Linked DNA regions of Tribolium castaneum. The protein of the gene in region 3 binds, or shares a complex with, the protein of the main gene of each other region. Links are inferred from orthologs where the notes say so. Each region holds a gene or a part of one and is shown on either strand. Other genes may lie near its edges.

Region 1 (4,132 bases), on a different chromosome or scaffold from region 3:
CTTTTGCACAAGATTTATACAAAATTTTGCCAACAGGAAGGCAAGACAAAGCTTAGTTTCATTTTTTTTCCACAAGTTTTAATCAAAATTTGAAATGCAAAGCATTTCGACACTAATGGGTACATTTTGTACAGTTGGTTGCAAATGCGTTCCAACACTCTTTTGATCATTTTCGTGAGCATAAAAATGTTTGTTTACCATTCGGCAAAATGTTCAAGTTTGTATGACGCTTTTTACGTTCGTTTTGTGTTTCGCAGTTCGCTCTTGGCATAGGCTCTTGGTCACTCACATGGCAACATGCGCTTTTGGTTCCTCACAGTAAAAACACGTGCCAAATGTTTGTAGAATACGTTTTCTACAACTATACAGCTAATACTAATGCGTTTTGCCTTAGAAATCTTCTGCACTGACAGCAGTGTGACAACACTTAACCTTAGAACTGTCAGAATTGTTTTACTTTATAGTGGCTCCCTCTCAGAAACAAAAATATGCCATGGAACTAAGCAATGCGGCCAGCCGTGTGAAGGGAAAGTTCCTTCATTAATCAAGGAAGCTGTGCTCACTGAAATAGGATTTACTGATGATGCGGATAGATGGCCTTAGTGTTTTACGGGAAAAAGAAATCCTATTGGCGGATTTAAAATTTCATATTACTGAAGAAAAACGTGGTACCGATGCGCGGCTGACAAGTAAAAATTTCACAAACGTCAGCAAAATTTGAGTTTATTTTTTATATCACGTTAATTTTTCAAAGTTTTATTAAGATAGTGGTTCAAGGTGTCGTGTTTGGGTTAGACTATTGCCTACTATCGGTTAGGAACAACATGATCTCCAAGAATATAACGTAGTAATGAGCTCCAGAAGGTTTTCATTGATAGGTGCGTTTTTTCCAAAAGTGAGTTTTTTGAGAGCGAACCGCAAGTGAGTCACACTGTGAGGAGATTCCCATAGACAGAAGTTGCTAACATAAGGTGCCAGTTTGGCTGATTGCAAGTATGTCTTTATCATCGATGCGGTGACGACTATTAGTTTTGTAAACTTAATGGATTTAATAAATATCTTTAATATTAAATGTGTTTAGATCGTGTCATGTTGGGTAAAATTCTTCTATTTGTGCTGTTTGTGCATCCACCTTTTCAAATACAATTAGAAAATTTTCATAATAATTGTATTTGATAAGGTTTTGACATCATTTTGACGTGAGCAAAAATTTAAAAAATACAAAGTAATCGGGATTATTTAATTCGCGCCATTTTTAGTACGTGATGATGCGGCTAGATGGCTCCAGCTAGGAATTCATTGCCAACCATTATGTTCCGCTTCTATAAAAGTGTTATTCTAGGGTGCCGCCATATGTGTCACATTTTATAAAATCTTGTTAGTTTTTGCATAAAAACGGTATAAAATGGCCCAATTTGATTTAACTTCCCGCATGGGGCAATATTTGGATCGGCACTTGGTGTTTCCATTGTTGGAATTTTTGTCGGCTAAAGAGGTACAGTTTTTGAGGTTATGTTCATTCGGTTGATTCCGAATTTCGTAGATTTACGATGAAACGGAATTGCTTAAAGCCAAATTAGATATTTTGAGCAAGACCAACATGATCGATTATGCTATTGACATCCGAAAGCAGCTGTATCCAAATGAAGAAGTTCCTGAAGATCTGAAGCAAAGGCGTCAACACGTTGTAGCTCAGTTACAGGAGCTTCAACAGGAAGTGCAACCAATTTTGAAGATTATGGCCGACGATGAGGTCATGAAGAATATGGAAAACATGAGGGATTCGAAAACTTTGATTAATTTCCTTTCAAAGGATTACAAAGTAAATACAATGTGTTCAAAAATGGTTGTTCACCCAGTCGACTATGGAAGTCAAAAACAATGTTCCGCTTCGTTCAAATCATTATTGTAGTGTTTGAATACTCTCATCTCTGTCAAATCTTAGCTTTTTACTCACTTTTTTGCATTTCTCAAGTGTGGGGTTTGCCGTCATTTGTGTTTTACATCTCGGTGAAATTTGTTGTGTACTCTTTCGTTTTTAGATTTGAAGTTTTTTTGCATTAATTTGACGGTTTTGTCGCTTTTGACGGCATTCACAATTTAAATTAAGTGGCACATTACGTTCAAATTTCATAAGTGACTTGCAATGAACAATCATTTCTGAATAGTGTGTTTGGACGAATACATTTTTGCAAAGAAAATGCACGTCAAGCTAATGAATGTTTATTTTAAAAAAAGAAGGATAAATTGAAGAAATACCTTTATTTGTAACTTATGACCTACTTAAACACTACTTTAAAACACTATATTTAACATGAAATTAAAACAAAGAAAAATAGGAATGATATTTGACAATTAATTGTTTGAACAAAAAAAAGATAGATTTTTTTGTAATTTCAATCTTTATTGGCTTCAATGACGACTCAACTTAGCGCTGGCATACTTTTAACGAATCCCTTACAAAATTCTGGCGTTTTATTGTTCCAAATATGTTCTATTTTATTTTTTAAATCTTTCAACAACTATTGAGGAAGATTTGTAGGATACCTTTTTACTTTGTGCCAAAAAGACTCAATGATATTTAAATCAGAGCTGTTTGCTAGCCACTCAATAAACTGACGTGGAAGTGTTATTGATGTTAACGAAAATATTTAATATAATGTTTTAATTTTTCTGATATGATATTAGTTAAGCAAATAATAATAATAGGTATTTATAAAATACAAAATATAAAAACTTGATTAATCGAAATTTAATTAATTCTGCAGTGTCTTTCTGGATCAACGGCGTATAATGCTATAAGCAAAAAATTCTTAAGAAAAATTTTTACGAACTTTTTGCACAAAACATTTAAGTATTTCAGGTGTTCTAAAATAACATAAGAAATAATAACTTTTGCAGCGTTTTAATATCATGTAATTTGATTGCGATTTTATGCAATTAATGAATTAGTAATTGTTAAAAAAAATAAAAAAACAATAAACTGCCAAGGAAGTTTTATTGATGTTACGAAAATATTTAATATTCAAAAAAATTATTTAATTCTACTAGTATTAGAAGTTGTTACCATTTAATTAATAAAATAAAAAAAAACTGTGGGTCGGTCTACAGACAGCGAAATTAAAATTTAATTCCGAATTAGACTAATTCGAGTTTAAGTTGTCATTTAAAATGCATTGGCAAATGTCAAGTTAATCACTAATAAAAATTTTATTGTAATTGAAATATTCTGTAAACTTCTTTGTTTAATTTAATTTCGCAGTTGGCAAGTAAGGTATAATCCTGCTTTTTCCGTAAATTTGTGCTAATGCGAGAAGGGTTAGCTGGTTTGATCTTCCGGTGATTTCCGGGGCAAATTGTTCAGTCAGTTACAGAATTTGTTATCACTTATAATGCAACAAAAATTAATGAAAACTTAAAAGCAATTAAAGAATGTTGGCATATTAATTAGTCACACAAAAATCAGTGTTTTCTATTAAATACTTAATTTTTTTCTCAAAGATTTTTTTTTATTTTTTTTTACATTTCCTTAAATAAACATGAATTACTAAAAATTATGTTAATAAAATTGAAAATATTATTCCGTGTAATTAATTAATTATTAATTTTATAATTTCAATAGTGTCTTTTAAATGAATGATATTTTAAGCAAAAAATTCTTAATAAAATTGTTGCTAACCTCAAAATTTCGATTTATTAAATTTTAATATTTTATACAATGTGTTTTTAAATGATTCTCATCCAGTTAACTTTGAAATTGGTTTACATGTAAAAAATTGTGCCGCTTTGCTCAATTGAATCCTCTGTTAATAAATGTAAAGTCTGTCAGTTGGCAAATTCATTTAATTTGTTTTAAAAACTTCGTTAAAATGTAACTAAATTATTATACCGTGCAAGAAAACACTTTTATTTTTTAAGCTTACTTTATATTTGGAGCCTTAATAAATGGAGAATGGTAATATTCGATGTCTAAATGCCTATCATTATTTATATGAAGCGGTATTTTCTGATTTTACTGTAGAAATTCACAGACGACTAGATGAGAATTATTTAAAAACACATTGTATTATTTATTAATATTTATTTTATTTTTTAATTAATTAAGGGCCAGTTTTATAATCGAATTTAAAGG
Region 2 (3,463 bases), on a different chromosome or scaffold from region 3:
CACAAAATTGAGGTTAGTAATTTTTCAGTCTCAAAAAACACAAAACGTAACTAAATGCAGTAATACGGAGCTGAAAATTTCATTATTTTTGCTTTTTCGAATGTTTTAGTTACATTTCACAAGTTGGAAGCGCCGGAATAAAATTTACCAAAATTATTTTCGTAATTAAATTTCAGTTTCAAACGAACGAAAAACACATTAACAAGGGCTTTATTTGTGTATTTTCTGTCAAAAAGTCAAAAAGCTATGACAGATAAATCCATAAAATCCGGGTTTTTGTTAAAAAAAAACAGAACATAGTTAGGTATTTTATTTTGGAATACTCTGTATACAGATTAAAATATTTTTAGAACGTGCCTAATAAGTCTTACAATAGTAAACCTAGCGTTTCAAAAAAATTCAACTTGATAGCTTGCATAGAAAAAAAGTTATGGAGCACCTGTATAATCATTATTTAAAATCATTGCTCCGAAAACTTAGACTTGGACGTAATCTAGGAACAAAAACAACCAAACTGTTTTATTAAAAAATTTATTAATACCAGCTATCCATTTAATAATCGAAATTATACTCAAAATATGACGAATCGAAATTATGCACTCTCACATAACCATCTTCACCTCCTGAACTATAACTCTTGCCATCTGGATGAAACGCCACACTATTAATCGGCCCAAAATGCCCTTTAACCCTCCCAAACTCTTCTTCAAACACCATATGGAAAAACCTCGAGTCAAATTTCCCAACCCTTGCCGACGTGGTTGTCACATCCATGGCATCTTGCCCTCCGCCCACAACCACATGCTCAAAAATGGGGCTAATGGCAGCTGAATTAACCGGCCGTTCTGTCTTGTAAGTCTTCAGTAACATCAAATCAGCAGCGTCGAACAGTTTAGCTGTGTGGTCTTTGGACGCTGTCACAAACATTGTCCCGTCTTTATTCCACTGCATATCGTTGATTAAATGTTCGTGTTCACGTGTTGAACTGATCTCTTTGCCTGACTTCAAGTCCCACTTGATCAAATCCCCGTTTTCGTGCCCGGTTATTATAGTTTCGTCCAGGTTATCCCATAGGATTGACGAAACACGGGAACCTTTAATCGGGATGCGTAAAATGGGGTCGGCGTGCGAGATGCTTTCGTCCACGTTACGGACGTCAATAATGAAGATCTCGCAGTTGTGTTTGAGGGCTTTGTCGGTGGTGTACACTGCCATGTTGCCCGAGTAGCTAAACAGACACGTTCGGACTGATGAATTGGTTGAGATGTTCCCGATTTCTTTGCCCGTTTCACAGTCCCATACTTTAAGGGTGTTGTCACCGGCACCTGACAGGAACCTATAAAGTTTAAATAGTTTAAAAAGTAGCAAAATAGGTGATATTTCTGGTCTAAGTAGTATTTGATTAAATCAGTAAAAGCAAATTAATCAAAACTTGTACAGGGTGTCTCACCTAAAACTTTCGAGATTAATATCTGTTTTATTAATTTTAATTTTAAAATTACGATTTTAAGACTTCAGTTTTTGCATTAATTGGATTTTAATCTTTACTTTCCTAAATATCTGCATTTTAATTTTCATAAAAATACGTTGACAAATAACTGAGATATCAGGCTCAAAAGTATTAGGTGAGGCACCCTGTATATTCGCTACTGAGGCAACCTTATCGCGCACCCATTTGCTTTATTGCAGCAATAAATTTATTATTATTATTAACCTAGTGGTGGTCCAGTCGACGTCGATGCACCAGACAGCCCCCTGGTGGCCGTTGAAGGTTCCCAACCTCTCGCCATTAAGGGAGTACCAAACGTTGGGTTTGTTGTCCTTTGAGGAGGAGAAGAGGAGGTCGCCCTCACGGTTGTACTTGATTTGGGTGATGGCACGTTCGTGGCCGTGGAGTAGAAGGGGTTTCTGTGGGGGTTTTGAGGTTAAATTTAAGCGAACAATATGTGGGTGAAATTGTGGGGTAATGTAATGTTTTACGGTTGTGGGGCGTTTTTTTCGATTGATTGTGAGTCGTTACTTACCATTTTGTTAAAAAACTGGGCGTTTTTTTAAGGATTTTAATGATTAAACACGCTTTTTTTGACGGTTGTTTGACAGAAGAGGTGTCAAAATTAACTGTCATGGTGGGTTGTGCAGTGGCGGGGTTAAGTCAGTGCCGGCTCAGGTGAAATAACCGTATTGTCAAAATTAACTGATAAATGGCGTTATTGCCATTTTGGCAATTTTTAGCAGTTGGGAAAAATATGTAATAAAATTAACTGTGATTATTGATTAAAAACTCTTTGGGCCTTTACTGATTTTTTTTTTTAATTATTATCTTTACAAACTTAATCTTTTAAAATAATATTTCATTGTAGCGATTTTGTTTATTTTTGTATGAAATAAAGGGCTTTTGGCAGTAAAAAAATTAAGTAGAGCCATTAATTTAAGACCTTGGGACCTTACAATCTTTTTTTTATCTCAACTTTTTAAACTTTATTTTTTCAACTCCCTTTTCGTGTTTTAATTTTTGTAGGAAGCAAAGCCTGATGATGGGAATTTGATTGTAAAAAAAATTAAGTGTGGATAAATATTCCCTGGGGCCTTACCTATTTTTTTTTCTTTTTTTTTTGGAAAATATTTTAATTTTTCAAACATTATTTTTTAACCCCCTTCCCATTTATTGATTTTGTTCAATTCTGCAAGGAATATATAGCCTAGCCATGAGACTTTCGACTGTAAAAAAATTAATTGATGACAAACATTCTGCTTACTGAATGTTTTTCTTTTGTTTTTTTGCAAATGTTTTACTTTTTAAACTTCATTTTTTTCAACCGGCTTTCCGTACTGCAATTTTGTTTATTATTGCAGGAAATAAAGCTCTTGGATAGTGTTCGACTGTAAAACAATCAAGTGGAGGTAAACACTCTTTAAAACCTAACAGATTTTTTCTTTTTATTTTCAAAATTATTTTGAATTTTAGAACTTAATTTTCGCAACGCTTTTACCGTGTAAATAATAAATATTTTTGCTAGTAATAAAGCGCTCCAGTAGGGCCTTGGCTTGTAAAAAAATGAAGTGGGGACAAATATTCCTTGTAATCTTATTGAATTTTTTTTCTTTTTTTCTTTTTTGAAAACTCCTTGACTTTTCAAACTTTATTTTTTCAATCTCCTACCCGTGTAGCGACTTTGTTAATTTTTGCAAGAACGCGTCCTACTGATTTCAGCAACTGTAAACTAAAGAAACAAAATGGGGATAAACACTTTTTTTCGAAATATGTACAGGGTGTAATAAAAAACAAAGAAACTAAAGATTTAATCCAACTTTAACTTACCTTTATATCAAGTCGCACATTTTAAAAGTTAAAGCCAAAGTTTTTGCTTGCTTAATAAAAAAAACTCCAATTAAAATCTGAACAAGAATTTTATTGTAAAATAACACAATACTCTAAATATTTACATACAATTGCGTCAATTTG
Region 3 (3,312 bases):
ACAAATACTATTCTACTTGAACATGGATACATGACATCTATTGGATAACTAAAGGTTACGGAAAACAAAATAAAAAATAATAAAATCATATAAACTAAAGATTAGTTTGAAAGATCCTAATCATGATATTTATGTCTTAAGGAAAATTGATTAAGCAATTAATAAAGTAAAACCGCGTCTTCTATCGAAGATTATAAAATAATAGAGGTAAAAAATTAAACAGATTTAAAATTTAAACGACTGAAAAAACGAGAGAAAGAAGTCGAGACACAAGCCAAACATTCATATTACGTAAAAAAAAGTGAAGATATGATCGAAGATTTAAATAAAATTTGATCATTTAGAACTTGTTGATTAAAAAATGGCCTTTATTGCAAATATGAAAGTTTCTGACATTGTAGAAAAAAGGAATGACCGAAATAAAGGTAAAATCGGATGGAGTGTTGTGTATATCTGTATTTTTGTATTTTCTATTGTGCTCGCGTTTTCGTGTTTCTGGATGCAATCCTTCATCAAAGAATTCAAGGCTTGCACATTTTAGTGTTTTATAGAAAATGGGTTATATTTTCAGCTTTTCTAGCTACACCCATTGCTAAGATTTTATTTAACTGCGCGTATGATTATTAATTATTATCTGAAAAGTAGGTGATTTTTTTGTTTTTTCATATTTTTTATTGTTCTTACAGATAAAATAGACATGTACAGCACTTATGTTTCGTATAAAATAATTACAAATTCATTAAAACAGACAAAAGAGGATCACAGAAAATAACAACATTGCATGGTTTGACGAAGACACATTTAACAGCGCCTGAGTTACCCTGAAAAAAGTTGGTAACTCGACACATTTCATCGGTCAAGTTTGTTTTAGGAGCTGTTAAATTGTAATTAAGCACTGGAATACGCCAAATCAAAGTTAATTTTGTTTTACCGTTAAACATTTTATTTGTTCAAGAGGCACCGCACTGTGCGGTGTTGAAATTTCACAAGCCTTTTCCTTAAAAAAGTTAATTGTTTTTGGCGCAATTTCGAGAAATTGTTGCATTTATTGCTGAAAAACATGTCTAAATTTTCGAAAAAATTGGGGTTTTTCTAAAATGGGCTGAAACATTAAGAAACAGAAGTAATGCATTTTTTGACATAAAATGGTGGTTTCTTTTCTAAAAAGGATAAAATTAACGCCACTTTAATGTAATTTTAACTAAAAATTGACTTAAAAAAGGGGAAATTCAGCAATTTTTTCGAATAATTTTTGACCCAAAATAATCACGTTTCTGACTGACACTTGAAATCAGAAAAATAATCTCATTTTTGATCTTATTTCGGCCCGGTTAATATACTTACATGCTTAAAAAACAAAAAGATAACACTCCTTTAGACATAACTTGGTGATTTTTTGGGTTTTTTATCGAACTAATAATTCCGGTTTTTGCTGAAAATGGTTCTAAATTTCTTTGAACACACGAAAATGACGTTTTTATCTAATTTAGGATTTTTTTTTGGATATGTTTATCAAAATATTACAGGAAAACTATGGATCAAAAAGCAAAAATAACACTTTGGCGATTTTTTGAATGATCTTAAACAACGCCTTGTGAAACAAAAACGTTCCAGACTAAAAAATGCACTGAATAACTAATTTTTCGTCCTTTTTTGTTGAAATTTAGCAAAAAACTTTATTTTACAATACAAGTATAAATTTTAAAAAATGTTAAAAAAATAATAACTCAGGTTGATGTTATTATGTTTTTTTTTTATAGATTCCGACACAAAAACATACAAATTTTAATTCATCTAAATCCTCTTAAAGTTAATCTAACTTAATTTACTTACAAGGACCTTTTTCGTTTATATTGAAAATTGGTCTACTTCGTGAACGATTTTGAGAATTAAATATTTTCATTTCAAAATCATTATCGGAGAATTTTTCTTTTCAGGTTATTGGATTTGGTCGTTCCAAGGAAAAATCCTGAAACGTGTTAATTTGGAAAAATTCGCCCAGTTGTTGTGGCGTCCACGACCTGCAACTTTATTGTCTGAAGAAAAGCAGAAAGAAATCAAAAAGAACCTCAAAAAGTATTATCCACAGTTTGAGAGCAAAGACAGAATGAGACAATCGAAAGCTTCAAAGGAACTTATCGAAAAACGTGCCGCTTTAATGAAGGAGTTTAACGAATACAGAAGTAAAAGGATTAAGGAATATAACGAGAATAAGCAAAGACGACTTCAACTTAGAAATAGTGAGTGTTTTAATTTGATTTTGTAGTTGTTAGTTACCCTGATTTTTTGCTGACACGCTGATTTGTAGTGTGGTTAGTTATACGCTCAGGGGAAATTAAAACATGTTTTTGCGTTCAGTTACAGTTTATTTAACTGCAAAAACATGTGACAATGTTTAATTCTAATTGTTTTGCAGTTTTTTTAACGCTTGATTTTTTCCAGATATTGATACCGATGAATTAGATGCCGACCCACAAAACGTAGAAGAAGAAATTGTAGAATTCTTTATTAAAGAGGAAACAACCATTTTGGACTAAGACAATTGAGGTTGAAGTGTTGGTTCCTGTGTGCATTCAACGTGTGCACGGGATTTATAGTGACTGTGAATTCATAAACAGCCTTAAATAAGAAAATTTACACCAATTTGTTGTGTTTTATCTTATTTAGTAGGTTCTCGTTCAATCTTTTTCTGTTGTCAGCTGCCATTATATTTTAATTTTTTATTCTATTTAGGTGGGTCAATTTTAACCATGTACGATACTAATCTCAACTGTCTGTTGGTTATTTGGAAAATAAATTTTCATATGACAAATGTTTTTTTTTCTCTTCCTAAACTCACCACAAGTGGCGACATCTAGCCTTTTCGTAACTTTATGATTTGTTGTCTAAGGACTATATAAAATTCTAGGTTCGTTCCAGCAGTGTTGTCATCAATTTTCTCATATACAAGTCTATAAAAATGTCAGCAGAAGTAGGGTCACTATGATTTACTAAGCAGTGGTGCATTGCTGCCAATATAAAAATGCTGTATCAAGTTGTCGGTGTGATCCGGGACACGTGCTGCTAAAGAAAATAATAAAACAAAATACATAAAAGGTTGATCGGTTTTATTGCGCGTAAAAGATACTTTTGGATACACGATATCCTTGTGTTGCACGATTTCGGAAAAATGTGTTTGTGGTGCGAGTTTGAGTGGTGGAAAATCGATGCGATTTGTTGTAAAATTGAATTTTGGCTGAAATTGTGATACATGGGGATGGAGGCATGACAGTATAAGCAGCACGTTTTTTATGCGCTTTTGTGAATTGGATG

What was found. The genes of interacting proteins can lie anywhere in the genome.
Region 1: eIF3b (region 3) and eIF3e share a complex: the UniProt entries of both Drosophila melanogaster proteins name them as parts of the eukaryotic translation initiation factor 3 (eIF-3) complex. The link is inferred for Tribolium castaneum from reciprocal best matches to the Drosophila melanogaster genes eIF3b and eIF3e.
Region 2: eIF3b (region 3) and eIF3i share a complex: the UniProt entries of both Drosophila melanogaster proteins name them as parts of the eukaryotic translation initiation factor 3 (eIF-3) complex. The link is inferred for Tribolium castaneum from reciprocal best matches to the Drosophila melanogaster genes eIF3b and eIF3i.

What each region holds. Positions count from the first base shown.
Region 1 is NC_087394.1:22,552,416-22,556,547, forward strand, and holds the start of eIF3e (eukaryotic translation initiation factor 3 subunit E), read left to right. Parts: upstream 1-1,317; 5' UTR 1,318-1,405; coding exon 1,406-1,495; intron 1,496-1,543; coding exon 1,544-1,822; intron 1,823-4,132. UniProt on the Drosophila melanogaster protein: Component of the eukaryotic translation initiation factor 3 (eIF-3) complex, which is involved in protein synthesis of a specialized repertoire of mRNAs and, together with other initiation factors, stimulates binding of mRNA and methionyl-tRNAi to the 40S ribosome.
Region 2 is NC_087394.1:748,456-751,918, forward strand, and holds eIF3i (eukaryotic translation initiation factor 3 subunit I), read right to left. Parts: upstream 2,153-3,463; 5' UTR 2,028-2,152; coding exon 2,025-2,027; intron 1,909-2,024; coding exon 1,715-1,908; intron 1,337-1,714; coding exon 553-1,336; 3' UTR 516-552; downstream 1-515. UniProt on the Drosophila melanogaster protein: Component of the eukaryotic translation initiation factor 3 (eIF-3) complex, which is involved in protein synthesis of a specialized repertoire of mRNAs and, together with other initiation factors, stimulates binding of mRNA and methionyl-tRNAi to the 40S ribosome.
Region 3 is NC_087399.1:10,630,211-10,633,522, forward strand, and holds the end of eIF3b (eukaryotic translation initiation factor 3 subunit B), read left to right. Parts: intron 1-1,937; coding exon 1,938-2,240; intron 2,241-2,442; coding exon 2,443-2,537; 3' UTR 2,538-2,812; downstream 2,813-3,312. UniProt on the Drosophila melanogaster protein: RNA-binding component of the eukaryotic translation initiation factor 3 (eIF-3) complex, which is involved in protein synthesis of a specialized repertoire of mRNAs and, together with other initiation factors, stimulates binding of mRNA and methionyl-tRNAi to the 40S ribosome.